4 linked regions of the Mus musculus genome follow. The protein of the gene in region 4 interacts with the protein of the main gene of each other region in a biochemical or structural test. Links are inferred from orthologs where the notes say so. Each region holds a gene or a part of one and is shown on either strand. Other genes may lie near its edges. The genes, in order: Mark2, Prkd1, Cdc25a and Ywhaq.

What was found.
Region 1: the proteins of Ywhaq (region 4) and Mark2 form a complex in vitro, tested with the Homo sapiens proteins (2 studies listed by BioGRID, with this or other methods). The link is inferred for Mus musculus from reciprocal best matches to the Homo sapiens genes YWHAQ and MARK2.
Region 2: the proteins of Ywhaq (region 4) and Prkd1 form a complex in vitro, tested with the Homo sapiens proteins (2 studies listed by BioGRID). The link is inferred for Mus musculus from reciprocal best matches to the Homo sapiens genes YWHAQ and PRKD1.
Region 3: the proteins of Ywhaq (region 4) and Cdc25a form a complex in vitro, tested with the Homo sapiens proteins (2 studies listed by BioGRID, with this or other methods). The link is inferred for Mus musculus from reciprocal best matches to the Homo sapiens genes YWHAQ and CDC25A.

Annotation. Positions count from the first base shown.
Region 1 is NC_000085.6:7,287,979-7,295,473, forward strand, and holds part of Mark2 (serine/threonine-protein kinase MARK2), read right to left. Parts: exon of another isoform or gene 7,060-7,495; intron 4,138-7,059; exon of another isoform or gene 3,976-4,137; intron 2,805-3,975; coding exon 2,625-2,804; intron 2,392-2,624; coding exon 2,338-2,391; intron 1-2,337. UniProt on the Homo sapiens protein: Serine/threonine-protein kinase. Involved in cell polarity and microtubule dynamics regulation. Phosphorylates CRTC2/TORC2, DCX, HDAC7, KIF13B, MAP2, MAP4 and RAB11FIP2. Phosphorylates the microtubule-associated protein MAPT/TAU.
Region 2 is NC_000078.6:50,385,404-50,392,898, reverse strand, and holds part of Prkd1 (serine/threonine-protein kinase D1), read left to right. Parts: coding exon 1-64; intron 65-1,449; coding exon 1,450-1,573; intron 1,574-2,911; coding exon 2,912-2,989; intron 2,990-4,366; coding exon 4,367-4,646; intron 4,647-5,630; coding exon 5,631-5,683; intron 5,684-7,495.
Region 3 is NC_000075.6:109,886,732-109,894,226, reverse strand, and holds the end of Cdc25a (M-phase inducer phosphatase 1), read right to left. Parts: intron 6,980-7,495; coding exon 6,881-6,979; intron 5,354-6,880; coding exon 5,291-5,353; intron 5,196-5,290; coding exon 5,097-5,195; intron 4,585-5,096; exon of another isoform or gene 4,517-4,584; coding exon 4,386-4,516; intron 2,483-4,385; coding exon 2,371-2,482; intron 2,149-2,370; coding exon 2,008-2,148; 3' UTR 337-2,007; downstream 1-336. UniProt on the Homo sapiens protein: Tyrosine protein phosphatase which functions as a dosage-dependent inducer of mitotic progression. Directly dephosphorylates CDK1 and stimulates its kinase activity. Also dephosphorylates CDK2 in complex with cyclin-E, in vitro.
Region 4 is NC_000078.6:21,390,701-21,398,195, forward strand, and holds part of Ywhaq (14-3-3 protein theta), read right to left. Parts: intron 5,746-7,495; coding exon 5,582-5,745; intron 4,361-5,581; coding exon 4,265-4,360; intron 716-4,264; coding exon 656-715; 3' UTR 1-655. UniProt on the Homo sapiens protein: Adapter protein implicated in the regulation of a large spectrum of both general and specialized signaling pathways. Binds to a large number of partners, usually by recognition of a phosphoserine or phosphothreonine motif.

The sequences.
Region 1 (7,495 bases), on a different chromosome or scaffold from region 4:
CCATCCATTTCCATACTGAGAGATGACAGAGATGAACCTCTTCCCCTGCAGGCAACAGACAACTAAAGGAGGGTTCTGAAACTTCCCAGGCTTCATCACTCATACAAGGAACAGAACTGGTTGGTTGGTTGGTTGGTTTGTAGGGACATGGTGGTTTGTCTGGGGCCCTAATTCAGGATGTAGTTTATAGAATAGTTAAAAAAATGGCTTCCCCCGGGCTGGAAAGATGGCTCAGTGGTTAAGAGCACTGACTGCTCTTCCAAAGGTCCTGAATTCAAATCCCAGCAACCACATGGTGGCTCACAACCATCCATAATGAGATCTGACGCCCTCTTCTGGAGTGTCTGAAGACAGCTACAGTGTACTTACATATAATAAATAAATAAACAAACCTTTAAAAAAAAATTTTGGCTTCCCCCCTTTAATGTTGTCCCAGAGCTTTGGTTGACTGCAACAAGAAACTTGATCCAACCTTCCCACTTCATCAGAGCCCACCCAGGCTTTTCTTGCTCCTCTTTCACCTAACAGTATGCTGGTAAAAAAAAAAAAAAAAAAAAAAAAAAAAAAAAAAAAAAAAGCAAAGGCTCTTGGCCACCATCTCAGAGTGACCAATGGGGACAGACCTGAGATGGTACTCAGAGCCGGTAGTCACTTTCCCATCCTCTAACATATCCATTTGGTATGGGAAAGCCTAAGCCTAGAGCGGCCAATGTCTTTAAAAACTCCAGTGTTAAGTAAGGAACACTGCTAAGAAGAAATGTAAGCAGAGTTAACTGGCCTGAATGAGACTGGTTTTACTAACAAAGTATGTAAAAAAGGGTTTTTTAAATGGCTTTATTTCTGCATCTTGGGGATGGAAGCAGGAGGAACAGGCGTTAAAGGATATCTTTAGATACATGGTGAGCTCAAGAGTAGCCTGGGTATATAATATCCTGTTTCAAAAAAGAAAACAAAAACAAAAAAACAGAACCCCTCTATTTGTCTGGCACAATCAATCAGAAAGAAGTGGGGAGAAAAAAGAGGTAGGGAATGAGATGGCTTGGTTGTCAATGGGAATGAACAGAGTAAGCAACAATGAACAGTAAGCCGCTATGCTCCAAGGCCTTTGCAGGGCTGCAGCCAGTGTAGCAGGGACATGTGTCCTCCTTTTTTCTCCACAAGCTCTGATAACAACCTGGTGACGATCGCATTGCTTCTGTTCTAACAAAAACCCTTCAGGGATAATACAATTTGTAAACACCTTAAATCTAGCTGTTAGCATGCCAATGAAGCCACTTTATCAATTCTGATTCGGGGAACAGCGCCCTCTGTAACATTCTCTGGCTCCTCATCCTTTTTCCTATCACTGTGGCTATTTACCTGGTTATGCCCCTCTAATTCAGCCACTGTAATATGCTCATGAAAAAACTTGCTTGGCCCTAAGAACCAGGTCTTAGAAAAAGTGAGCAGGGGTTAGATACAGTAGAAAAACCAAAGGAAATCTGATTAACCTGGGTAGCACCCCATACCCCCAACCCCTTCCCCGTCTTCTAACCGCCTTCAACCCAGGAGGATGAGGGACAGTGCTTCCAGTACTGCAAGTTGCCCCTTCTTTTCTCATGCACACGTTTCTTTGGCACAGGGGTTATGTCTCTATTTGGGGGTTCTCCTACAACCCAAGGAAGACCTTAGTTAACAAGGGAAGAAAAGTTCAACTTTACCTAGCTAAAGCTGCTTACTCACAAAATGAGTATTCAACAAGAAAGCCTAGAAATTGGGGATAAAGCAGAGTGCCTTTAATCTGTGCACCCTGTCACACACAGGCTTAGAACTCAAGTCTTCCAAGCTCCTCTCTTAAATGGAGCCTGCAGAGATCCAGGGGTAGGCTCTGCTTCTTTAACCTGAACTTCTAGGGCCACTCCACTGGGTCACTCAGTGTCTGGGTCTGCATATACCTCTAGCAATGCTATAGACGTGTTTCTGCAGAGACCTGGACACAGGCCAGGAGATAACATGATCAGGAAGTAGGTCAGACCGGACCAAGTAGCTGGAAGACTTCAGAAGAGCCCTTGCTTGTGGCCAGGAGGCCTACTGGATAGAATTACCACAGGGAACCCAACCAGAACCATAGGTAAAGGGCATAAGTTTTTTTGGGTGTTTGTTTTTCAAGACAGGGTTTCTTTGTGTAGCACTGGCTGTCCTGGAACTTGCTCTGTAGACCAGGCTGGCCTCGAACTCTGAGATACTCCTGTCTCTTATACCACCACCACCTGGCTTGAAGGGACTGTTGAGTCTTAAGGAAGCGATTTTGTGGGCTTGTCCTTAGGAAGGGATGGGAGGCACAGGGTGGGGACTCACTTTCTGTAGGCTGGAGGAGTTCAGCTGGGTCTTGTCGATGATCTTCACAGCTACCTGAACAGGAAACAAAAAGCCCAAGATCACTTTCTTGAGCAGACTGAACCAGGACTTGGTGCTACTTTCTCCATCGAATTTTCTACTCCTTTACATGCTTGGCCCTAGCATAGCTATCAGATCTCACTTCTGCAGATAAACAAGAGGCTAACTGTAGGAACAGTCTCAGCACTGCCTGCTGGGAGTGTCAACAGGCTAGGAGCTGCTACCATGGCCCCAACCCCAGTGCTCACCTCTTTCCCCGTCAGGATGTGCCGGGCCAACTTCACCTTGGCAAAGTTACCCTTGCCAATGGTCTTAAGGAGCCGGTAGTTGCCAATATGGGGCTGCTCGTCAGCAGAGGTGGCTGAGTTGCGGCCCCGCAGCATGTTGGACTTACTGCTGGGCTTGGAATCAAGGTGTCCCAAGGTGGGCTGCAGGGTGGAAACAGACACGCCTTTACAGGCTGCCCCTCTAGTTCTGTCTACCACTACCCTCCACTCTGAAGAAACGGCAAGAGTCTGGGTGCAGGGGCAGACTCCAAAGCAGACTGGCAGGAAATACAAGGAATCATAAGGCAGGGGAAGAAGACAGAGAAGGGAAGGCATCACAGCCAGTTTTCACTGCAAAGGCACATAGCATAAGGTTCAGGGCTAAATCCTGTACACAGCAGCGCTCAGGACCAGAGCTATCTCTCATCAGCACCACCAACCACGATTAGCCCCCAGTAGTAACCTAGTGGAGTCTCTGCCCTCATCATAGCTGGGAGACCTTGTCTCTGACTGCCCTGCTCACACTCCAAGAATGCTGGTTCTCAGTTGCAGGAACACATGGTCTAAACACTACAAAGTTCTCATCACCCAGGTCTTAGCATCAACGTCTACTATTTATTCTTTACATTTGTTTATTGATGTGTCCAGTGAGATTGGAAACCCACGAAGACAGTCTATAATATTCTTTATTCACTGACACATCACATCGAACACCTGACAGTACTCAGAGAATCACTGTCCAACAAATAAATACAACAACTGCTCTGTGTAGTGCAGCAGCCTGCCCTGCCCTGCTCTCCTTTCTGTATTCAATGGTGCAAATGAGCCGAGAAGCCACAATAGTTACATACAAAGTGCATAGTTTCAATGAAAATAGGTATGAAGACGGTCCTGTGCACCAATGGTCACTGAGAATGGTCATACTTCTCAATGCTAGCGGGGAAACAAATCAACAATCAACTGATGAATGTGACACCACAGTAGAATAAGAACTCGTCATATGGAAGGAAGCACTGATACTGCTGCTCCAAAGAATCCCCAAGAGACAAAGAAGCTGGCCACAAAGGACCGTCTTCTTTGACTCTATCTTTGACTATATAGAATATACAAAGCTAGAGAGGCAGATGCAGAGTCATAGTTATCTAGAGGGACATTTGAGGTGACAGGTAAAGAGCATGGTGTTTCTTTGGGGATAACGAAAATGTTTTGAAAGCAAACAACACAAAATGTAATAAAAGCCACTCATCTGTACTTGGAATGGGTGAATTATACTCCAGTGTCAAGGGGAATTACCACCCCCCTACCCCTCACCCCGCTTTGAATCCTGATTCACCTCTCAGAACATCTGAGCACACTGCCAAGTTGGTTCCACAGCCTGAGCCACAACCAGGCAGAGCCACCTTGTCTTCAGGGAGACAGCGAGGAGGGCAGCAGGGTGACTGGAGATGACGGGCCCACTTTCTTCCCTCAGATCCCTTCAGACTCGAAGGGAAGCCTTCAGAAGCCACAGAGAAAAGGCGTGACTTCAACACAGGGAACTGCCTGAAGTTCCTTGGCAAGAAGTGTGTGGGCTTTACAAAATTCCCTTTTCTCTAATGTGTCAATCCAGGGCCTTTGTGCAGCAGCTGTGTGCTAGTTTTCCTGATTTGCTAACTCAGACCCCAGAAGCCCTTGCACATGGACAACCGTGAAGGTCCCCTTGACCACTATGTACAAACCTAGAGAGGCAGATGCAGATTCAAAGTTATCTAGAGGAAATGTCATCTCTGTGACAATTCCTTAAGTCCCACTGTTGTCAATCTGTAGCTATCCACAGCAGAGGATGGACAAATAGATTTTTTTTTCAAGAATCTGCTTCAGAAACCGTCTCCAAGGAACCCTGTGACTCATACTTGGGGGAAAAAAAAAGGCAGTTCTATCTGCAGCTACTTCTAAATGATACTTTGAGACCATCCACAGGTCTCAGAAGCCTAGCTTTAATGTCTAGCACTGCTATTCAGTGCTCCCCCTGCCCTCAGGGCACCAACAACTGGAAACCTCCCCTCTGCCTCAGCTGCTAAGTGGGCGCATTCCTTGGCAATTTTCTTTTTTGTGGTGCTGGAGATTAAACCTGAGATCTCTCATATACTAGGCAAGTGTTCTACCAATCTAACACCAGACCCTTTCCTTAACAACTTAAAAAAAATTCTGTGTGTGTGTGAGTGCTTCAGTTTATGCAGCACATGTGTGGATAAGCCCACTGAAGTCAGAAAGGGTAACTGGATCCTCTGGAGCTACAGTTGTAGGCAGTTATAAACCACTATTTCATCTGAGGTCCACTCCAATAGCAAGACACGCTCTTAGCCACTGAGCTGCTGCTCTACCCCTTGGTAACCTTTACTGTAAGTTCCTGTGACACCCCTTTCCCAAGGGCAGAAACCAAGGACAGCAGGAACTTTGTAGGGCTGAAGCCCAAGAACCTAAAATTCTCACACTAAATAAACATAAGAAGCTGGATCCTTTGCCTCTCTGAAGCACAAGCTAGAAAGCTCCAGCCAGGTTTCCCCTGGGCTCACTGTTACACCTCAGGCAGTAGCATATCAGCCTGCCGTGTGCTGGCTTCCTTATGGGTTAGGATGAGCAGTGTAGACACAAACTCCCAGAGTTCAGACCCTAACTGCTACTCAGCTCAGGTTAACTTTCTTGCTATCAACTTCTTCCTGAAAAAGGCGAGAGCGTTCCACCCCAAGATGACCTGTGCTGGCGTTCATGCGGGGGTGGGGGTGGGGGTGGGGGTGGGGGGTGGTGTTGTCCAGCATACAGAGGAAGGTTCCAGCCCTAGCTCCTCACGTTAGTTTCCTTATCTGTAAAGTGGCAATAAAACATTTCCTACCTTTCACTGGCAAATGAGAGAACATTTGTCAACTGTTTTATCCTATGTTAAATAAAGAGCAACCATCAGGCAGCCTAAGTTATAGAGAAAGGCTGGCCAAGGCTGTAAAATGGTTTTTGTTTTTAAGCAACTATTATGTCTCCAAATTATGTCTTAAGTCCTCAGTAACCTTTTGGACTCAAGCTGAGTCTGCTAAGCCAAATATAGTCTCACAGAAATGTTTAGGGGTGACAAGGGTTCAAACTAAGCCCCCTGCTAATCTCCAGGCCTGGTGAAATCCAATCAGAGCTGTTTGTTGACTATCACAGGCTTTCTTAAGAAGAAAGGAGAGGTGCCAGGCACTCAGGTAGGACACCTGTGAAAGGCTGGTCCCCAGCACAGAGGAGAAAGGGCTCTTCATTAGGACCCAAGGAAGTAAGCCAGCTCTGAAATCTGCTCCATGGTTCCCTGTTCCAGTCAACAAACCCCTCGTCAGATCTGAGCTCTCAGGACTTAATCCAGTATTTCTCTGACACCACTATTTCTTCATTACACAAGATACTTTCTAGCAGAGAAATGGGGACAGGGTGAGGACAACCCATTGGGAAGAGCATGGAAAGATGGTAGAAAGTAAAACTGCGCAGGCACTGCTTCTTGAGCCAAGGACCCATGTAAGGTAACTCCCACCCTCTCCTGCTGCTGCTCTGGGGTAAGAGTGGGGTGGCCATTATGGAGAGCCTAGCGTTCTTCTGGACCACAGAACAGGATCTGGCTAAGTGCTGCTCCCTCCCCATGCTCAGGCTCACTGTCTACAGCAGGATGTAGACCGTCAGAGCTATGACCCATGTATACCCTAGCCAGGCCCCTAGCTTCCTCAGTAAAAGAACCCCTGTGGCTCTCAAGTCGTCTTCATAGTTTCTAAGTAGCCCTAATCTAGAACAACAGCCAAAAGCTCTCTGGGGTTAGTGATGGACAGACGTCAGAATCTTCCACCTACTGAACCCACCCAGACTTTCAGACTGGGAGCTTATGGTGCCAGAAGATAGCCTCCACCCCAGAGGTCAGCATTGACTCGGTAAGGCAGGGTCCCCTGCCCTAATACTGGCAGCTGCCATCAACTGTTCTCCTCTTAAAAAGCCATGCTCTGGGGGCTCCCCCAGGGCCAGCCCTCCAGTGTACCATGGCTTCTGCAGACTGGGAAGGGCCAGACTAGTGCTGGGCATGGGGGTGGGGGAGCAGGCACTTCCTGGCCAAACAGAGTAAGTAAGCTTAAGGGAGGCGGAGGAGTAAAGAAAGGGCCCTTTGGGCTCTTGTCCTTGGTCCCAGGTGGACTCCCACTACGATACCCCTTTTTTATAGCCTGTTTCCTTTCCTCTGGCTGGTGAGGCCAAAGATCTTTTGGTATCTGCCTGTTTTCCTTTTCTCCTTCATAGCCAATGTCTCTTCGACATCCAGATGCCCTTCCAGAGAATCTGACTGCCTGGTGCCAGTACCCAACTCCACTTAGCAACTCTTCCAAGATTTTGTTCAAAGGATAGCCCCAGGGGCAAAATGGGGAAAACATACCCAGCCGGAGAAGGGGACAAGGACTACCAGCGACTTCCATTCAGCAGAACCTGTCAGGCAGCGAGGGCAAAGTACAGAGACCGGGATGAGCCAGGCCCAGGGCGGGGGCTGCCGGCTCAGCCAGCCACCCTTACTCAGCCGGCACAGGCCAGGCGACACCTTCCACCACCTCCTCAGTAAAAAGCGTAGCAGGCAGGCAGAGCAGTTCCCGCCTGAGAACCTAGACTGTGTCGCAACCGAAACCACCACTAACAGAAAGAGAGAGACTGGGTTTGGCAGAGAGAGCTACAGGGACAAAGCCTATGGCTTGGTAAGGCTGAGTGGTCAGAAAGAGTGCACAGTCCAGGATGGTACATCAGAAGTTAGTTGGGAGGAAAGGAGCAGGAAGAGATGGGCGAGCAGGAAGGGAGACCTAGGGCGGGTTTAAAACAACTTC
Region 2 (7,495 bases), about 29 Mb from region 4:
AGAGTGGAGGTGCAGAGATGCAAGATCCAGATGCAGACCAGGAGGACTCCAACAGAACCATCAGGTCAGAAACCCCTCTAGGACTCAAGCTCTTATGTGTTTCAGTCCGTAAAAGAAACATGAAAAGCTATGTTCTGTATAGGAAAGCTTACGGAATGAGGAGCTTGGTTGCCCCAGAGAAGAGCTTGTTTCAGACCTGGCATTATTTATTTATCTGTTGACCCATTTCCTTTGTGCATGAAGGATACACATATTTGCTGTGGTCACTATTAATAGTTAATATTAACTCAGAGCTCATTGTGTGGAAACGTAATATTCAAGGGTCAGCCTCAGCAGAAATCATTTACTTTAAAACTGATCCCTATTATACATATCACAGTCTGTGTGCACCTCATTGTTCTTAATTTTATTTCAGAAATATGTGTAATTTCCTACCTATTATCTACATTTGTTATTTTAGCCCTGGGTGATCTTCACTTTTCATATTAGTAGTCAGTCCAGCATGGCCACCAGGTCAAATGGAACTGCTTCCTGCTATGTAATTGGATCTTATTGCAGCCATGCCTGTTCATGCCATCTGTGTCTGCTTCCATTCTACAATGGCTAAATGGTGAATTCTACAAAACCTAGGATCCTCTCGACCTGAACCCTTACAGAAAAAGTTTCCCACTCTAACTAATTGACATTATAACCCATACTAACAATTTTCTGTCCATTTACAAATGCCAAATTCATTAACACTTTGAGATTAATTGTGACCATGCAAAGATATTTTGCATGTCTTCCATTTACTGGAATAATAAACATTCTTTTAGTAGGGAAGCTTACTAGTCATATGACTTTGAAAGCATACAGTTCTTTTTTACCTGAGGATCTGTGGGAAGCAGAGGGAAGGATGAAGGGGGAGGGGGAAAGGATCTAAAAAGAGTCACTGACAAGAGATAAAAAGTGAAGGATGAAAGTAATTCCATGAATACTAGATCTGTAAAAGACTAGGAATCAACTCATCTGGGAAGTTCTAGTTTGCTTTGTTTTATTATTTGTTAAAGAAATCATTCAGACAGAGTTTGTATAGAAATCATAAATTATTAGTAGTATGCCTATTGCATATAACAAACTTTCCTCTGATTTTGAATATTGAGGCTTCTAAACACTGACAGTGAACCCTGCTGTTTTCCTAAAACTTTGAATGCCATCAAGATCAATGAGAAAAATCTCCCTGTATCTGACTCTGCCTAGGGAGTTTTAGAGTGAACATCTGAAGTACCCGTCACTCCCCCAAGAAACTCACTTTCTGAGCCATCAACCTCTGACAGTACATTTCACTGAAAATGAGACATGCATTTCTTTTTGACTTGTGCTTTGAAATAGTTTAAATGAGCTTTTATCCGTGGGAAGAAGATCTGAATGTGAAAATATTTCCCTGCTAACATATTTTGACTTTTCCAGCCCTTCAACGAGCAACAACATCCCGCTCATGAGGGTAGTGCAGTCTGTGAAGCACACGAAGCGGAGGAGCAGCACTGTGATGAAGGAAGGGTGGATGGTCCACTACACCAGCAAGGACACACTGGTAAGGGGACAGAACTGCTCCCTGTGAAGCGGATGTCCCGGGGGACTGTGGGATACGAGAGTTCTTGGGAGTAGACCTCCCAGCAGAGGCAGAGGGTCTGCAGACACATGCTATCTGGATGTTTGGTGTAGCTGAATAGATACTGAGGTTAGAATAAACTGTACAAAGCAATTCCAGTACAGAAAAAAAAATCTACAGACAACTAGAATGTCTACATCATTTCAAGGACAGCTGAAAAGATGCATGGTTTTAGTGTGTCCCTCTGTAGTCTAGAGGTTCAAAAGAAGCTATGCCTTTTGAGAAGCAAGAGAGAATACTGATGACTGTTTAGCCACCCTGGTGTGTGACAACTTTGTAGTGTGTTTCCTTTCTTACCAGTAGAACCCAAATAGCTGAATAATAAAGTTACATATTTAGCTAGAAGAGCGCACCCTTGAGGCATGGTTCAGAGTTTAACTAATTGACATTTGGTGAGAGCTTCTCATTGTCCTTTTTCTATCTCTGCCCTCCAATAATATTTCCACCATGTCTTTAGATAAGGAGACATGTGTACCTTTAATTGATTATTTATTATTTACACCTTCGTATGGGAGAGAAAATTTATTTCAGGACTCAAGTGAACTCTATAACTTTCTTTTTGGACCAGTTGGAAAATATTTAAGGTATATTTAATGTTTGTTTAGTCTAAGAGTGGCTGTGAGAGACACCAAACATAAAGTTGAGTCTTTGCTCCTGAAAAGATGCTAATGCACGAATCCCCCCAAAGGTGATGTACCAAGAGAGAAAAACCCAGTCATTAAGTCACAGTGATGAGCTGAGGAGCCAGCTGGATATAAGTCTCTAAACTTGGAACCATGAGGGCAAACCTTCCATCTAATGAGACTTATTTAGTGATGTAGCATTCAACATTCTATGGAGAGTAGAAGTGAAGATGCTTAGCTGAGTCCTCAGGGCCAGTCTAAAAGATTAACACAGACAAACCATCTAGCTGCTACTAAGCCCTGGGTTGTTTTGTAGACTACAAAATCTCCTTTAGCTTTTTAAGCAAATAAATGTTTAAAAATTGGGTGTATTTTGGTATTCATTGTGTGCATATGAATGTCAATTCAGGTACTTCCCAGGATGCTAACCCAGTATCTCGGTTATAATTCACAGTCTTAGAAGTAGGTACAAAAACACGTCACATTATGCTCATTAAATAGCTTCTTGAGTTAAATTGTAAGTTGTTTTTGCCTTTAAATTTAAACTTTTCACCATCAAATCCATGTTCCCTCAGAGAAATTGCACTTGTTTTTATAAAGCGCTCGAATTTTTAAAGTTGTGTAACTTCCATTTCAGCGGAAAAGGCACTACTGGAGATTGGACAGCAAATGCATAACACTCTTCCAAAATGACACAGGGAGCCGGTACTACAAGGTGAGGCTGGCTTCTTTCAGTTTTGCCTCATAATGTTCCTTAAGGAAATCGGGAAGTTGGTCCACATCCAACAGTGTGACCATTCCTGGGCTCCCGAAAGAAACCTTTTAATTGGCGGGATGCGGTTTTTGTAGGAGTTCAGATGTGACATCTTGATTAATCTGTGTGTCTCGCAATTGCCAACAACGTGCTTCTGGCGCAGGGGCTTCTGGGGAGCCGGATGCTGGAGAAGGAAGCGGAGGGGAAGCTAAGTGCAGCAGGGTAGCTGAGTGGTTTGGTTTCAATAGAGAGTTGGTGGCCACAACCCGAGACTACGAGTAAATCTGACATCCTCAGGAAGCCAGCACTGGTTACAGGGAGATCCATTCCTCTGTGTATGTGAGGATCGTATCCCTTTATTTATCAGCAATCGTCTGCCTTTCTACATTAAATAATATACAAGTAGTGTCTAGCTCAGTTCCTGTGATACTTCATGGTCTCCGTTACACAGCTATGACACCACACAAGAAAAGGTTATTAGATTTTTAATTGAAAAAAAATAAAATTATTACTTTAGTTACTTTATGCATCCTGCAGTATAGTATGGCACCTCATGTTTTTAATACTTAAATGACTATTAAAAAAAAACAACTAATTTGGGAGTTAGGAAGGATGGATCATTCAATAAATTACTTATCCCATAAGCTTGATGATCTGGGATCTGAGTTTAAATTCTCAGAACACATAATGACAATGATCATCATTGTTATCATCATCATCAATAATAATAATCCAGGCATAGTCTAATATGTCTTATAACCCTAATGTAGACACAGCAGAAATAGGCAGATTTCTGGAGCCAATCAGTGAGCCTGAGTTTAGTGAGAGATTCTATCTCAAAGATAGGTACTAGTTGTACAGGCACACGTGATTTAAAAACAAAACTTCATTGTAAACTAATTGCTGTGGTTTTTCTCAGTGAACATTCCTCTATGTAACTATGCTGTATTAGCATATATAGAATCAAAATATGTTTGACTGAGATGAAGAAACAGTTGAAATACAAAACAGCCATGAGTATCCTAATACATTTTTAAAGATGTTATAATTTGCTTCAAAGCTTTTTAGATTCTTCCATCTGCCACTGGATCAGTATGTGTGAGAGAGAGAGTGAGGGAGGGTGGAAAGATGGAGAGAAGAAATTTTTCAGAGAGTGTGATAAGGCCTCATTATAGAAAATTACATTTTATGCAGGTTATAAGGCCTCATTATAGAAAACTACATTTTATGCGTGTTATATATATTTGAAAATATTTTCTGTATTTTGTAACTTCCTTTCTCATTTAATAATCGGCATGATTTTGGTTAACCACATTTACCATTCTTTGTCTTCCATAGGAAATTCCTTTATCAGAAATATTATGTCTGGAACCAGCAAAACCTTCAGCTTTAACTCCCGTTGGAGCGACTCCTCATTGTTTTGAAATCACTACAGCGAATGTAGTGTATTATGTGGGAGAAAACGTGGTTAACCCATCAAGTTCCCCACCAAACAACAGTGTTCTCCCCAGTGGCATCGGTCCGGATGTGGCCAGGATGTGGGAGGTGGCCATCCAGCATGCTCTTATGCCCGTCATCCCCAAGGGCTCCTCTGTTGGCTCCGGATCCAACTCACACAGTGAGTCCATTGGCTTCAGTCTGGCATGGCTCAGGCTCCTGATGGTCCAGTAAGAGACCTGCTGCTTTCCCCAAAGAGATGATAAAGAAAGACTCCCCGTGCTGGCTTCAGTTTGTGGCAGAACATGGAATCTCTGAAGGGAAGCTGCTATGCTTACTGAAATATGTATTAAATTGTTATACTTATTTTATATTAGAGCTTTTATAAAGTCAAGTATAACCTATATACTATACGACCACAGGTGCCCACAGCTATTGTTCCTAAAAGACACCATTCAGTCAGTTTGAGCTTCACTTGGAATGACACAAATATGAAAAAAAATCTATTTGCTACAAATCCCTCCTCCTTTTCTACCCATGGTCTATGACTGTTGTTGCTGCTTGATCACTTTATCCCAGGAAGAACTTTCGGTGCACTAGTCAAATAGATTCAGCTAGAGTAGAAGCAAGATGAAATATTGAGGTGGATCTTAAAAAAATAGAGGAGTACCTTTATGAAATTATGATCTGAAATTCTATCACAAATCATGCAACCTGAAGATTAACCTGTTTTAACATTATAGTATATTTTATCTGTCATAATTATATTTTTTCTCAGTATATTAATAGGATACACTTATTTTGACCACAAGGAATGTATCTGTATGTAAACTAAGCACTTAACCAGAGGCCTCTACTTTAACTCCTAAAACCCCATTCCTTAATGATTTGTCTACATTCAAACAGAAACAATTTCTAGAAAGTTGGTTGTCTATTAGCTAACAGAATGGCTGCATAATTTAACCCGAGCTCTATGCTGACAAATAAATATTTAAAAACAAATTACAGAGTTTGTAATGTTAAGGGAGCTAATATATTTTAATAGAAATTTTGTAGAAATACCTAATTGCTGTGATTAATGTAAATATAGTAAATATGGCCCACTGGGGTCTTTAAAAATATACTTTAACTATTTCTTGTCTGTTTTTTAAACATGCATTTCCAGAAGATATTTCTGTGAGCATTTCCGTTTCAAATTGCCAGATTCAGGAAAATGTGGTAAGCATGTGTCTATTCATATAAATCCCAGAATGTGATTACTGGAAAATAGAACGTATCACATGATAGATTTTTATTTATCCAATTTTCTGTTTACTTTCTTACCGTACATTGTTTACTCATTTTTCTATACTGCAGAATATAGTACCAAGGGCTGTTGTCATAATAGACAATTGTAGTGTGATATACAATTTTTCATATTTATCTTAGGATTTTGTTTTTTATTTTTTGTTTTTGTTTTTTTGTGTGTGTTTGTTTTGGGGATTTTTTGTTTTGTTTTTGTTTGTTTGTTTGTTTTTAGATCAAAATAGGACATATAGTTTACTAAGAACACAGCAGGAAGGAGGCAGGCTTGGTAGTGACAGCTAGGAGTACCACTGATCTGACTTGATAATTGAAATTTAATGGTTGGTATTGCACAGTAAAATAGATACATTAATAATGTAAAATTTTTATTTGTAGACCTTTTTTAACATGCCATTGCTTATCTCCTTGCTAACAAGGTGTGCTGATAGATGAAAGGGGCTGCAAATATTCTTAGTCACGTATACATGCCACAATATAGATCTCAAAAACGTCCCCTAAATCAGGAACTATGATCACCAGTGCCACCTAGCACAGACTTTTCAGAATTCAGAAGTTATAGATCACATCGTAAGATGTTTTACACGAGGTTGTGTTTGCTTGATTTCATCTTAGTACTGAAGATGGAGTACCTACCTCAGTGCTGTGACCAACAGCATCAACTGCTTGCTCTCTCTACCTAAGACCCAAACAAGCCAGTGGACCATCCTGCTTACAGTGATCTGAGATTGTTTATCAAAAAACAGACTCCATGAATATCATCTGTTCAGTGCTGCTCTTGTCCCTGGAATTCTTGATGACCTGGTGTAAACTGAGCAAAGGCAAGGGTGAATTACAGGAGGTCACTTCACAGTGCAGGTTAAATGGATGCTTGAACTGTACCTCCTGAGATGCAGACCTCAAGACTGCAGGGTTCTGCTGCCCTTGCTTAGACAGAGGAGACCTTGGAGAAAGCGGGCAACTCGAAAGCTTCCTGGGTAGTTCCCAGGGGACCTCAGAGTCCTTTATCCTGATTGTCCACTGAAAATTTTGAAATGAATTTTCCAAGAAATTCTGAGGAGTCCGTTGGTTAGCGTGGCTACAGGAAAAAGGGACCAGATTAATGATGTTCCTTGCCAGAGAGTTTTGAACTCACTTTCTGATACTCCAGAGGCATCACAGACACAAGCTTCCTAGTTGCTTTCTAAGAGAAGAGAAGGAAAGTGGTGGGAGAATGTGGCTGAAAACTGATTTTTAAAAAAATCAAGGTTTGCAGAGTCGAACTAGGCAGAAAATGTACTAGGATGCACAGTACCAGGAAAATAAAAAATAAAAGCTTTGTAGTGTTTCCATGAAATCTTTTGGTAAAAAAGATGCAATATGAAACCCAGATTAGCTCACTCTCTATCCAGCGATTACAGTTTCCCAAGTGGCGATACTGTGGTTATTTATATAGTAGCTGGGATTCCTGGAATAGTTGTGTGTAGCTTAGGTTCTTGTAGAAATGAGAAATAAGCAGGAGTAGCCCCATGGTTCTGGCCTGAAGGTAAAGCTGGATTGTGACAGACATGTGGGCCCATGGGATAGTTAATGAAATTTCTAAATTACTGGTGCAGAAATAAGAATACATAGAATACATTCTCAGATATTTATAGTAAATTCCATTGATTGGTTTTAGATTCCCCCTTCTCTCTATTAAAATGCCCCATATCCAAAGTACTTAAGAGCGGAATAGTTTTCAAAATATTA
Region 3 (7,495 bases), on a different chromosome or scaffold from region 4:
GAGTTGTTTCTCTATCATGTGGGGGATGGCCTTGAATGCCAATCCTCAGGCCTTTAGCAACCCAAGGACTAGGCTGTAAGACCACATGGAGTACTGAGAAAACTATTTTAATAGGTCCCATCATGCGACTCTGACTGACCTAGAAGGCCATTTCATCCTGTCAACCGCCTGTTTTTGGGGGATTGTTTCGGCTATTCCTAAAGGCAAACTGAATTTTTTTTATTAATATCCTCTTGAAGAAATATGGCTGGCTTAATTTAGCTATGTGACCCTGGGACCCTAAAGGCAAATGAGACTCCCAGTTGAGTATATTAGGAACTAGGCAGAGAACAAGGGTTCAAGATCACTTTTATTTGCAGAGCCTGCAACTGTTGGTTAACAATGCTAGCTATGCTGGTACAATCTGCAAGCCATTCTCCTGGAAAGCATTCAGCTAACAGAATCTCTACAAACCAGACCAGGGACCAACTGGGACATACTTCAACACGCCAGGGAAGGGGCTGCTCATTCCCTTGCTCTCCACATATTTTCAAACAAGATTTGTTTAATAGCCAAATGCAACTCAAACCCATAACAAAGCAACTAGCCATCTTCAATATCACTGATTCCCTCCCCGCCCCCAGAATAGAAAGCAGAGGGAAGAGGGGAGACTCTTCCTAAGAAAAACCTGGCTAGACCCCAATGGAGCAAAGATAGCAGAGAGGCTGGTGTCCAAGGATATCAACAGGCAGGCACCAAAACAGGCTGTGCAGAATCAAAGCAGCCTGGCCCCTCAGACGAGAGGTGTTTCCGAGAGCCTCACTTCCATGGGATTAGATTAGGGGGTAACTGATGTGATTCACCACTCTCTGACCCTCAAATTAAAACATGATAAACTCTGAACCTTTGACTTCAAAATTTACTACGCCCTCCTGAGAAATTCCACAGTTGTCTGTAGGCCAGGATACATAACAGCCTGGGCTTCCCGCCCCCCTGCTCACCCTTGGGTGCCCACCCAACACTGATTGGATATTCCGACTCATAAAATGACTTTTTTTTTTTTAAAAGGACATTCAGTGGGCATGCTCCTCCCTCACTCTGTGGACTCCACTCTTTCATGCCCCCCCTCTTCCACCTTGGGGCACACTACAGCATTCCAGTACTGGCCTGATGGAAGCTGCCTAAAGTGCCTTCCTGTGACTCCTACACCAGCCACTGTCATGGGGACGTGGGGTGAGGAGTGGAGACAAGACTTTCCCCGAGGAACACTGCAAAATGCAGAAGTAGGTCTGGGAAGGTTAGCTTATGTCCTGTAGCCAAGCCTGGATCTGGTGCAGGCTCTTACCAGCATCTCAGTCCTTGACTTTGAGTAGCAGCAATACTGGTCTGCAGCGCCTCCTAGGGGTGACTGAGCTCCTTGCGCTGTTCACAACTTAACAAGTTTGCCTTTTTCTTATCCCTGCCCCATTTTTTTTTTTTTTTAAATTAAAAGTAGAGGTAGCTCCTAGGATGATAAAACTCTACCTAGAATGGCAGTATTTTGACTTAATGAAGCAGAAAAGTAAAAGTCTTGAATTAAAACAATAATAAAATAATTGATGAAGCTGAATAAATTAAAGTTAAGAGTCATCCACGAGGCCCTCTCCTCCCTTCCAGCCTATCTTTGGTATTTGGCCAGCAGCACTTGGGCGGCTTTTCTCTCCTCGTGACAGGCCAGGGTCTACCCAATAAGGCCTTCTTCATGGGATGCTCAGTGAGAGCAGCCTAACACGGTGTTGCAGACTCCAGTCTGTGCTGTGCTTGTCCAGCTTTGGCAGACAGTCCTGACAGGGAAGGACTCTTACAGAACAGAAGAGTGTAACGGCAGGGTGCCCTAGGCTCCAACCTGGGAGTGTAGGAGACAGGTCCAAGGAATGGAAGGCCCAGGTCTTTCTCCAGGTACCGTACAGCTGGCCCCTTTGCTTACTGCTCTGCAGCAAAGGGAAAAGGGACGGGGCAGAGGGAAGCTCAGGCTGCTACCATTTGGCTTCAGAGCTTCTTCAGGCGACTGTACATCTCTCTTTTGCTCTTTTCTCCTGCCCAGGTCCGGCTCTTGGTGCGGAACTTCTTTAGGTCTTCTTTAAAGTCTTCATGGTGCATTGGCCGGTAGCTGGGGGGTTCACAGTGAGACTAAAGGAACAGGAGAGACACGGTCAGGATACGCCTGCCTCATATCATCTGGCTTCCTCTGCCTAGAGCTGCAAGGCTGGGAAGGCAGCAAGCAGGTGCCAGTGAGCAGGAGCCTGGCACTTAGCAGATGCATAGTGCGCCCCCAGACCCCGGCAAGCAGCAGCCACAACCGACCCAATGGCCCAGCATGGGGGCGTGGGGACATGCTCACAGACATCTCACCTGGCACTTCAAAAAGAACTCCTTGTATCCCCCCTTCAGGACATACAGCTCAGGGTAGTGGAGCTTGGGGTACTCATTGCCGAGCCTATCTCTCTCTCTCACATATCGGCACCTAGTGAAAAGAAGTGAAGGACACAGTCGGGTCACCTCCTTCAGGCTAGGGGACAGGACACAACACAGGTGGTGTCCTGGCACTCCTTCCACCTGCCTGCTGCCGACACCATCTGCAGCAATAGCTTAGAGCCAGCGTGCTCTCCATTCTGTCCATGGTCCCCTCATTCTGCTCCTCTCACCCAAGTAGAAGTCTTCCTTCTTGTGCCTTTAAACAGCCGAGGCCTTCTACTTCCCCGGTAGCTACTAGAACCCCGTGTCTCTCTGCACTCTGCCTGAGCGGCACGAAAGCCACAGTTTTCAGTGTCCTACTGTGTGCCGCCTCACATCTCATTCACCCCACTCGTCTCCTGTCCTCTATCTGGGAGCTTCCACTCATTGACCTCATTTTGAAGGACTTGTGAACATTTTGTACAATTCTAAGTTTTTAAAATATGCTTGTCTGCCTCCTGTCTACTCTGAAATGTCCCTCCAGGAAGCTAGACTTTTGGTTTGCTATGTTGTTAGTGTTAAATAACAATAAGAATTTGAGAGTGGATGCAAGCCCCCACTATCTCCATTCATGTGTGAATATTCAGTCCTACTCAAATGGGTGGGTTGTTTTCTTTTTTGTTGTTGTTGTTTGGGTGACAGGATCTCACTATGTCACTGTAATGAGATCCTGTAGTAGTCTAGACTGACCTTGAATCTGAGTGCTGAAATTAAAGGCATGCGCCATCATACCTGCCCTTGAACCCAGGACTTCACAAATACTAGAGAAGTGCTCTATCTGATATGAGCCACACTCCTAGCCTAACAGTACGTTAGTGTGCTTCTTATAGGATCGCATGCAGCTCAGGCTGGCTTTACACTTCTGATCCTCTGCCTTAGCTTCCCCAGGGCTGGAACCAGACATGCACCACCATGCCAGATGCTGTTTTAGAGTATCGCCAGCACATCAACATCTGCAGAGGAAGCTCTCCAGACTTTTCTGCCCTTTGCTTAAGGAACAACTGCTTGGACGTTATGAGACTAGTCGGTAGAACGCAATACAGTGGGGGAAACTGGGAGAGCCGAAGTAAAAATCAATATAAAGGACCAACAAGAGTGAGTCATTTGGAAAGAGGCTGAACCCATGGTGATACTACAAAGTTACAACTGGTATCACCGTAAGACTGAACTGGAGAAGCCTGAAAATCATTTGCAATCAAAACGTAAAGGTTAAGTTCATCAACTACATTCAAGAAATATGTCTGGGCTGGGTGGTAGTGTCACAGGCCTCTATACCCAGCACCCAGGAGGCAATGAAGATGGATCTTTGGGTTGGAGGCTAGCATCATCTACATGTCCTGAGTTCCAGAACATTTAGGACTCAACAGAGAAACACTACCTTGAACCCCTTCTCCACCAAGAAAGGAGGAAAAATGTTTGGGAGAGCAAGATGGGTAAAAGCTGCTCAGAAATCCACACAGCAGAGCACTCCCCCAAGCTGACTTCTGAACTCCATATACACACTATGGTAGGGCACTTTGCGCGTGCACAAAATAAAAAAAAGTATAAAATAAATACTAATCGTAAAAATGTCTATTTGGCCGGGTGCCTAAATCCCTGAGGCCAGCCAGCCTATTCTACAGACTGAGTTCCAGAATAGCCAGGGTTACACAGTGAAACCCTTTTTTGAAGGGGAAAAAAAAAGGCTGTTTGAAAGACAAATCAGTGGACAGAAGTCCAACTAAGGGAAACTATGTTATAATAGGAATTATAGTTTCCACAAAAGCCATGTATACACATAATGTGTAGACTGGAGCAGCACTGGAGCGCCTTGTGACTTTGTGAAAGGTGCCTGTGTTAGGGTTGTGACGTGTGCCCTGCTCTCCACTGTCAGGAAGCCTCCGCCCCAAAGCCTTATTCTCTGTGGTACTCACATTCGAGGGCCTCTTTCAGAGGAAAACTCACAGTGGAACACGACAATGACACGCTTGCCATCAGTAGGCACAATAGGGTTCTTAAGTAAGAAGTCTTCAACCTCTTCTTCCATGTGCAGATTCACGGCACCCTGTGGAGACAGCAGACACTGAGCACCTGCTAAGCCACACCCAGGAGTCTGTAGGTCCCACGGCCCAGCAGCGCAGTAGACCACCTGCCTGTTATGTCAGTGAGGCTTTCTCTGTAGGCCATTTCTAAATGTCACTTCATAAAGTCAGAAGCTAATCCCCACTCACATTTAAATCCTGCTTTTTATGGTAATACTAAACAGGCATGACCAGCTCCTTCCTTCTAGAAATCTGGTGTTCCAACATGTCCCTTCCCAAGGTAGGCAGCCTGACTCAACAGCAGAGCCTTGGTACAGATACCAGGGCCATGCTGCCAAACTGGCTTCTTTTACTCAGGAGCTCTGGGGTGCTCAAACATTCATATTTAAATATCCCAAATGCTGTGGAACTCTTTGTGGCCCCACTGAATAGCTTAGACATCAGGGATGCCACCTAGAAATGCCCTGAAACAGGACAGTATGAGGGAGTGAAGTGGAACTGGTGGGAATATTCATTCAGTTTGTGTATATTGGCCGTCAGCCAAGAGATGTCACTATCCCACCTTCTAAGACTCCCAAGATAATAAGTCTCAAGAATCCAAACCTTGATGTGACCTCCTTCATACTCATATGGGTATCGGCAGTCAATGATAACAAACTCTTTAATGAGACCGGCAAACTTGCCATTCAAAACAGATGCCATCTATGAAGAGAGAGGGAAGAGGGTGTCATTTGCTGGCTGTCAGGTAACGAGATTCCAACTCCCCAAATGCAGTGGGTTCCAAAAGCCTGACTTACAATTTCTGGAGAAATATATTTCAAATCCTGATGCTTCCCAGAGACTGTATTAAAGAGATAACCCTTTAGAAAATGAAAAAAAGGAAACAGAAAATATTTAGAGGAACGTGAAAGCTTGCAAATATTAAGGTTTATTCTGCTGCCTGTGTGGTAGGAAGCAGCTTGAAAAACAAACCGAGAAACAAACATAAGTCAATACTATATGCTAATTACCTTTCTATGCACTTAATCAACATCTAGATATTTAATTATTATTGTTTAAGGAGATATGTTTTCATTATGTAGAGCAGTCCAGCTCCAGACTCCGAGGTGAGCCTGCTCCTGGGGTAAGTTAGTAAATGATTATGCTCACCCTCTGGGTCTGGTCTTACCACCTAAGGAGTCCCGAGTCTAGATCTGAACACAGAAACCACAGGTCATTTCCTTTCTCCACTGGCTTTTCTTTTGTTACTGTTTTGTTTTGTTTTGTTTTTCAAGACAGGGTTTCTCTATGTATCCTCAGACACAGAGACCTGCCTGCCGTTGGAATGCTGAGATTAAAGGTGTGCAGTAGCTGCAGCACCGCCCGGCACCTTCCCCCACCCCCCTCCTGTTTTTTTATCAGGAATTCTCATCTTAGTATGAGAAATCACTTAAATGCAGAGAGGACAGTCAGGCCGTTGTGGTACAAGTTTAGTCCTAGCATTAGGGGTTGGGAGGAGGCAGAGGCAGGCGATCTCTGAGTTCAAAGCCAGTAGGGACTACAACGAGTTCCAGGACAGTCAGGACTGCATAGAGGAACTGTGTCTGGAACAGCAAACACACACGCAGTGAGGAGATCAGGTGTGACTCAGGAATATAATAACAGCATTTGGGAGGAGGATATAAGTTCAAGAGCATCCCTAGTTTGGAGTTTGGAGCCAACTTAGAATATGAGGTGGTTCTGTAACAAATAAAACCACAAAGACAGTGGGTGTGGTACTGTAGGCTGAGGCAGTAGAACTAGGTTAATTTGGGTAAAATAGTGAGGCCACGCCTTGGAAAGCGAGACAACTTGCTCATGTGATGGGCACCTGGTTGCTCAGGATGGAGTTAGGTAGTGAGAATGGAAGAACATCTTGGCCCAAGCCTAACAAGGACGAACACCTCAGTGCTACTCAGTGCTGTTTATCCCCCTCAAAAACTCCTTGTTCTTCCTTGTTTTGTTCTTTTTAGACAGGGTCTCTCTCTATATAGCCCTGGTCCTTGAAGTTACTGTATAGACCAGGCTGGCTTCAGTCTGTCTAGCTCTGCCTTACAAATGCTAAGATTAAAGATGTGGGCCATCATGGCTAGCTGTACTGTACCATAGCTCAGGCTCATGCTTTCCCAGACACACTGGTCAGAGTGAAGGTAACCGTACAGGGAACCACCGAGCCAGCAAGTCTCATGACCACCACGTGCCTCATCCTGACAAGTTCAGCTGAGCTGATTGTTCTTTAGCTTTTACTTTTAAAACTGCTGCCTTGGCGGCACCCAGGGGCTGCCTTGAGGAAGGAAGGAGCAAGGTAAGTGGGGTTCTAGCACCCCTTGCCAACACCACCGGACTAGAGTGACTCTGCTTGCAGTTACCTTGGAGAAATCTCCTATAAGGTCTCTTGGGTCACTGTCCAAAATGTTCTCAATGGTTCCTTTGGGGGAAGACATCAGGGATAGAGACTGGGATGGAAGCTGTAAGAAATCCAAGGTAGAGAATGAGACCAGGGTTTTGATTAAAAGCTCTACAATTATTTACCTTTACCATGCCAAGAAAAGGAAACTGAAATATGAATGCCTATAGTAAGTAAAAGATTCTGTACTGTGACTTAAGCAGAGGAAGGATAGCTCCATGCTATCTAGTAACTAGTTGAATTTCCCTGAAACCCACGAATCTCTGGTTGGCCTGGAACTTGATAATGTAGATCAGGATAGTCTCAAACTCAAAGAGTGCACAGAGATCACCGGCATGCCGACACACCAACCAGCACCTGTCCTCTTTTACTGTTCGCAATGAGAACTGTTGAGGTGATACCAAGACAGGCGTGAGATACAATCCCAGAGGCAGGAGGACTGCCACAATGTTGAGCCTAGCCAGGGCTATATGGCAAGAATCTGCCTTAAAAATAAAAATTAAAAAACCAAAAACCAAATCAAAACCTGAACCTGACACTGTAACAGAAGATCATTGTCATGTATCTCACAAAATAA
Region 4 (7,495 bases):
GAAGGAAGTTGTCAACTTAAACAGCAGCAAATGAAGAATGCATAAGGAAACTCCCTGTTGTCACAGAAAGATGTAACCTCCAGAATATGTGACACAGGAGACATTTCGATCTGTGACCCCAAGCCCGGATGCATTAAGCGCTTTCCCATTCAATCTAACACTTCTGGATTCCTACTAAAAAGGAATTTGTAGTAAGAGCATGGAAAAGTTGCTTCTGAAAGGAAACCTCCAAGAAGGTTCAGAAAAGGAATGTAGAAATCAAGACGTTATTATTACAATTACTTTAAATTGTAATGCACTACATTTTCCATATCTTCGCAGTAATACAAAACACAGTCACTTGTAGAACTGGTTCAGATTACTTAAATACCAAGTGTGCTGTCACTCCTCTACACAAGTGTCTGGAAGTTACTCGTGTTTCTATGAAATGAAGCTATTGATACTTTTCTACAGCAGTAACTGCACACCAGGAAGGCGGAGATAACACAAACCAAGGGATGGAGTTTTCCCAAAGCTGCAGTGTGAAAAGACTATATAAACAGTTGATCCCATACACACGAATGGGCTTCCTTGCTAGAGGAAATCCAAGTGGAATAAGGAATGGAGATGTAAAAAGGTTTTCTTGAGGGGAAGGAGGTTGGTGCCCTGGATGCCTTTAGTTTTCGGCCCCCTCTGCTGCATCACATTCTTCTCCTGCACTGTCTGATGTCCATAACTACAAAAGAAGAAAAAGAGAACTATGTTAACTTATTACTTCCATCCAAGCATGAAGTCCCTTAAAACACCAATCCTTTAAGCAAGATGATGATGAAGACTGTCCTTTCTCAAACTGAGAACTATCTATCACCCCTTTAAAACATAGCCTAACAGACATTTACAATGTCACATTAACTACATATATTCATACATGTGTTCTGTGGACAGTATCTATCATTCATCTACAGGTTCCTCCTGGAGGTCCTGCTCTGACTGTCCTCAAGAATGGATTATAACATGTAAATCAAATAAATACATACTTCTACCCAAGTTGTTTTGGTCATGGACTTTATGACAGCAATGAAAAGCAGACTGAGACAGTTTCCAATTCCACACAAGTAAACTGTAATTACAGAATATACAAAGTGCTGAGAATTTCATGTTCTTCATTCTCAATAGTGAAACACTTTCCTTGAAAACAGTGTTTAAATATAATTTATGAGACTAATAAAGCAAGAACTATATAAGGAGAAAATCATGGTCTTGTTAACTATTTCCAAGTACATGAAGGAGTAACAGAAAAAGCAACAGAATTACTCTGTACCGACAGAAATTTAAATGGTGATATGTGATAAAGGCTACATAGCATGAATATGTGTGCATTAACTGAATGCTAAAACTAGAGTATTCCAAGATGTCTCTAGTTAAGACTGAAAAGAGGAAGCAAAATGTCCACTGTCAATACTAACTGTAATCAGTTCAGAAAACGTAATTTATCAACACTAAGATGCTACTTGCAACTTAAGAAAAAGCAAGCTTGGAGGTGGGCGGTGGTGGTGTACGCCTTTAATCCCAGCACTATGGAGGCAGAGGCAGGCAAATTTCTGAGTTTGAGGCCAGCCTCTGGTCTGGTCTACAAAGTGAGTTCCAGGACAGCCAGAACTATACAGAGATACTCTGTCTTGAAAACCCAAACAAACAAATAAACAAACAACAACAACAACCAAACAAACAAAACAAAAAAAAAGGAAAAAGTAGGCTTGGGATGGCAAGAGCATGGACTGTTCTTCCCAAGGTCCTGAGTTCAAATCCCAGCAACCACATGATGGCTCACAACCACCCATAATGAGATCTGACGCCCTCTTCTGGTGCATCTGGTCAGCTACAGTGTAATTATGTATAGTAATAAATAAATCTTTGGGTGGAGCGGAGTTGACTGGAGTGAGCAGAGGTCCTAAAATTTCAATCCCCAACAACCACACGAAGGCCCACAACCATCTGCACAACTACAGTGTACTCAAATACATTAAATAAATAAATAGGGCTGGTGAGATAGCTCAGTGGGTAAGAGCACCCAACTGCTCTTCCGAAGGTCCGGAGTTCAAGTCCCAGCAACCACATGGTGGCTCACAACCATCCGTAACGAGATCTGACTCTCTCTTCTGGAGTGTCTGAGGACAGCTACAGTGTACTTACATATAATAAACAAACAAACAAACAAATAAATAAAGATCTTAAATCACTATTAAAGTAAACAGTCCTGAGTCCATGAAGCTTACAGTCAATTCATAGGAGCAGCTGTGTGTGGCTCTGCTCTGCTGACATCTAAGAACACACAGCGCTTTCCTGATTTCCTTTTCCATGAACTCATCATCTGCTCAGGAGAACTGAACAGATATGGAACTTTAAAAACACTGTAATATTAATACCACACAGTGAAAGTGAAAGCTACAGCAGCACAACCAGATGCTGGGAAAACTCTATTTATATTAAAAGGCATCATTCCCTCCTGGTTCTCTCTGTCTTCAGTCTAAAATATTATCCTATCAAATTTACTTGAACACAGAAAATGACTAAGTTCAAGCCTCACCATTTCTCAATTGTTTCTTGCTATACTTTGGTATGAAATGTCCCCACAGGCTTAAGTTAAACTCTCAGCTCCTCATGCTGTACCTTTAGAGAGGTAGTACAATCCTTTAGAGGAGCTATCAAGTTATGGAAAGCTGGGTCATTGTGGGAGCACCCTTGAAGGACACTGATAGGTGTCTTTCCTATGGCTGCCAGGGGAGATGCAGGCCTTCACTTCACTGAACCTGTCAAGCTGTTCAACACAATGCACCCACGCTACTACTGGGGACTGAAACCTTTACACTCGTGAATCCTAAACTCAGCATTGTTTTAAAGTTGTCTAATCCGGTTTGTCACAAGGACAGAACACTAATGCATCCTTTACCTACTGCTTAAGAATGAGGAAGAAAAACCAAAGGAAAAGATAAAACGGGCTTTAGCTTATAAGCAGAGGTAAACTTACACATAGGCTTAGCCTGTGTCAGTTCTTTTCGTTTTTGTAAATCTGACAAAAGCCAAAGTCATCCGGATAGAGGGAACCTTAACTGAAGCAATGCCTCCATCAGATTGGCAGCATTTTCTTGATTAATGATTGGCATGAGAGGGCCTAGCTTCACTATGGGAAGAAGTGTCACCCCTGAGCATGTACTTCTGGGTTATAAAAGAAAGCAGACTAAGTCATGGAAACAAGTGAGTAAAAGCAGCACTCCTCCATGGCCTCTGCTTCAGTTCCTGTCCTGACTTCCCTCTTCTTTTGAGACAGGATTTCTTTCTCTGTATAGTCCTAGCTATCCCGGTACTCATTATATACACCAGGCTGACCTCAACCTCACAGAGATCTTCCTGCCTCTGTCCTACGTGCTGAAATTAAAGGTGGTACCACCACCGCCCACCCCCTGACTTCCCTCCATGCTGGAGTGTAAAATCTAAACTGAAATAAATTCTTCTCTTCCCAATACTTTTTTAGTCACCATGTTTTCACACTGCAATAGAATGCAAAATAAGAAACCCTCTATCAAATATTCAAACACAACAGAAAAAAATTAAACCTTTATAGGCACAGACATGCTGCCTGCATATTATGTGTGTACAGTGCCCATGGGAGGGGTTCCTTAGGACAAGAGTTAGTCCATTGTGAATCACTATGTGGGCACTGAGACTCAAACCCAGGCCCTCTGAGATAGCAACCAATGTTCCTAACCACTGAATCATCTCTCTAGCCCTCCAAGGAAACTTTTAGTAAAATAAGGAGTTTGCAACACATATAGAATCTCTAATTTGTTATATCTAATTTACCCAAAGAAAGGAAATACTAGAACTAGACAAGCTCTCTACATTAACTGTTGTTACCAACACATTCCACTAAGTCTAAAAGTAATGATAATACTATATTCTACTTTCATAGAAAGGTCTGATAAAATACTTTGTCATCATGAAGACATTTCTCCAAATTTTGTAAGAGACCATAGCTCTAGTCCTACAGTAGTAGTGCACATCTTTAATCCCAGCACTTGGGAGGCAGGGCAAGTGGATATCTGTGTGTATGAAGCCAGAATGGTCCACAGAGTGATTTCCAGGACAGCCAAGGAGGCTACTCAGAGAAACCCTGTCTCAAAAATGACAATAAAAAAAGAGGCTATAACTTTTCTATAACTGTACCCCCCCAAAACGAAATTACTGTTGTTTCTGAAAACAGACATGTTAATAGTGAACAACTCACTGTTAAGTTGTCTCTAAGCAACTGCATGATGAGGGTGCTGTCTTTGTAGGAGTCTTCGTTCAGTGTATCAAGCTCTGCGATGGCCTCATCAAAAGCCTGGTAAAGTTAACATTTGTAGTATTATACATTTAGTTCAGGAACAGAAGCTAGCCAGTCTGCAAATACAACCGTGTGTACAACCACATTACGCTACAGGGTAACACTATGGAAGTACTCCCTTGGAGCCCCAGTTTAAGATTTTGTGAGTGTTCCTCACTTCAAGTCCCACTCCCCTGCCCCCATGCCCCAATTCGGGAGAGTTCTGGCCTCACCTTTCCTCACTAAAGCTATACTTGCTCTGCTTCTTAAAAAAAAAAAGGGGGGGGGGCGCTGGATGATGAGATGGTTCAGTAGTTAAGAGCATTGACTACTCTCTCAGATGTCCTGAGTTCAATTCTCAGCAACCACATGGTGGCTCACAACTATCTATAGTGAGGTCTGATGCCTTCTTCTGGTGTGTCTGAAGACAGTTACATCGTATTCATATACATAAAGTAAATAATCTTTTTCTTTTTTGGTTTTTCGAGACAGGGTTTCTCTGTGCAGTCCTGGCACTCACTCTGTAGACCAGGCTGGCCTCGAACTCAGAAATCCACCTGCCTCTGCCTCCCAAGTGCTGCTCCCCAGGCATGCGCCAACACTGCCCAGCTAAAATAAGTAATTAAAAAAAAAAAAAAGATTTATTTATTTATCATAAGTAAGTACACTGTAGCTGTCTTCAGACATTCCAGAAGAGGGCGTCAGATCTCATTACGGATGGTTGTGAGCCACCATGTGGTTGCTGGGACTTGAACTCAGGACCTTTGGAAGAGTGGTCAGTGCTCTTACCCGCTGAGCCATCTCACCAGCCCTAAAATAAATAATCTTAAAAAAAAAATTTAGCCGGGCGTGGTGGCACGCCTTTAATCCCAGCACTTGAGAGGCAGAGGCAGGCGGATTTCTGGTCTACAAAATGAGTTACAGGACAGCCAGGGCTATACAGAGAAACCCTGTCTCGAACCAACCCCCCCCCAATATAATCTGAAACTCACTCTAAATATTTACAAGCATTTGTTGGTTTATCACAAGATACACAGTACATTAAACAACACTTAGTATAATTCTTACAGGAACTGGTGCAGTTTGGGGGGTAGGGATGGAGGAGAGTCAGTAATAGAGAAACTGTCTAACACACACATGAAAATGGCCTCCCTTGAGCATCCAAATACTTAAAAATTAATATACTTAGTTTCTCAAACATCCTCATAAAAAGAGGGATGAACCCAACAGCAATCTTACCGTTTTAGCCAGTGTGCAGGCAAGCTCTGGATTATTAAGGATCTCATAGTAAAATACAGAAAAGTTAAGAGCCAGCCCCAGGCGGATTGGATGCGTAGGCTGCATCTCCTTCTTGCTTATATCAAACGCCTCTTGGTAGGCTCCTTGGGAATTTTCTATTGTTTCTGTGAGTTGAAAACGGGAAAAAAGTTAAGCACAACAGCCAAAGCATCTATCCAATATACAACATGCTAACAACTTCAACATAGGTATCTGGCTATGAGTCATTCTGATCACCACAGCTCCAGTATACTTAAACAAAAACCTATTTGGACCAGTAAGACAGTAGATAAAGTTGCTTGACACCAAACAAGCTTGACAGCACAAGTTTGATCCTTGGAACCCACATGGTAGATGTCCTCTGATCCCTACATGTGTGCTATGGCATTCAGGCACACACATACTGAAAAAAAGTAAATATTCTGTGTGAAGTCCTGGTTTCAAGCTCTAGCACACATACCCTACACAAATAACCAGCAACATCCTATTTCTATATTCTACATATAATTTTATTAGAAATATAGAAGTGTTATGTAAGGAATTAGAATTACATAGAATTAGAGCTATAATTTTAACAAACTCCCAAAGCATGAAAGATTAAGGCTGCTTGTAATATAAAAGCACAATTAGAGTTCACCCATGAGCCCAACTTTGTTGAGGATAAATTCATTTCTTTTTTTTTTTTTTTTTGAGGCAGGGTCTCACTATGTAGTCCAGGTTGTTCTGACAATTCTCCTGCTCCAGCTTCCTAGATGCTGCAGTGTTTTCATTTTCAGAAATACAATCAAAAAAAGAAATTCAATTTCCTTTATATAAAATACTTCTTTTTTGAGACAGGGTATCTCTTCATAGCTCTGGCTATCATAAATCTCATCATGCAGACCAGGCTGGCCTTGAACTCACAGAGATCCACCTGTCTGCCTCGCAAGTTCTAGGACCAAGGATGTGTACCACTACAAGTGTTCATTTTAAAGACTTTTGTTATTTTCTTTGATGTAGATGGAGAAATATTTCAGTGGTTAAGATACAGGTGGTTCTTCCTGAGAACCCAGGTTCAATTCCAAGGCCACACAGCAGCTCGACCATCTGTAAACTCTAGTTCCAGGGCCTCCAAAGGCACCAGGCACCCAAGCACACACAAGCAAAACATGTATACACAGAAAAACAATTTTTTTAATTTAAATACCATTTGTTTATTCTTTTAAATTTTCATACATTTAAACAATTTAATCATATCCACCCACCATCATCCTCTCCAAAACACTCTTAGTGCCCCTACCCCATCATCCCCATGCTTGTCTTTGTTTTGGTTGTACTTAATATCCCTCCCTATCTAATTAAGTGTTGCCATATGGGCACAGGTGTGGGGGCATCCACTGGGACAAGACATATAATTTTTTATTTTTAAGTTACAAAGAACCTGCAAACTACCTACAGATTACTACCCTACATGTGGCTAATTATCCTGTTATGGTTTGAATATGAAATACTCTCTAAGGCACGTGTTAAAGATAGGGTTGAAAGTTTGTATGGCTTTTAAGAACTACAAACTTAGTGTACTGATCAGTCCAATGGATCAGACCTTTGATAATGGTATTATCAGGATGTGATGAAATCCAGGAGGCAGGAGCTAGTTAAAGGAAACAGGCCAAAGGAGTGTTTCCTGAAAAGATAGACATTGTCTCTAGATCCCCACCCTCTTGCTTCTTGGATGCAATTAAATGAGCAATTCCTGTGAAGTTCTGCCTACTTCAGGGTCCACACTAACAGAATTAACTAATGAACCAATCCTTTGAAACCAATGTAACTCTCTCCTTTCAAGCTATCTTTCTCGGGTTATTTTGTCACAGTGACAAGTGACTACCCATTCCCACT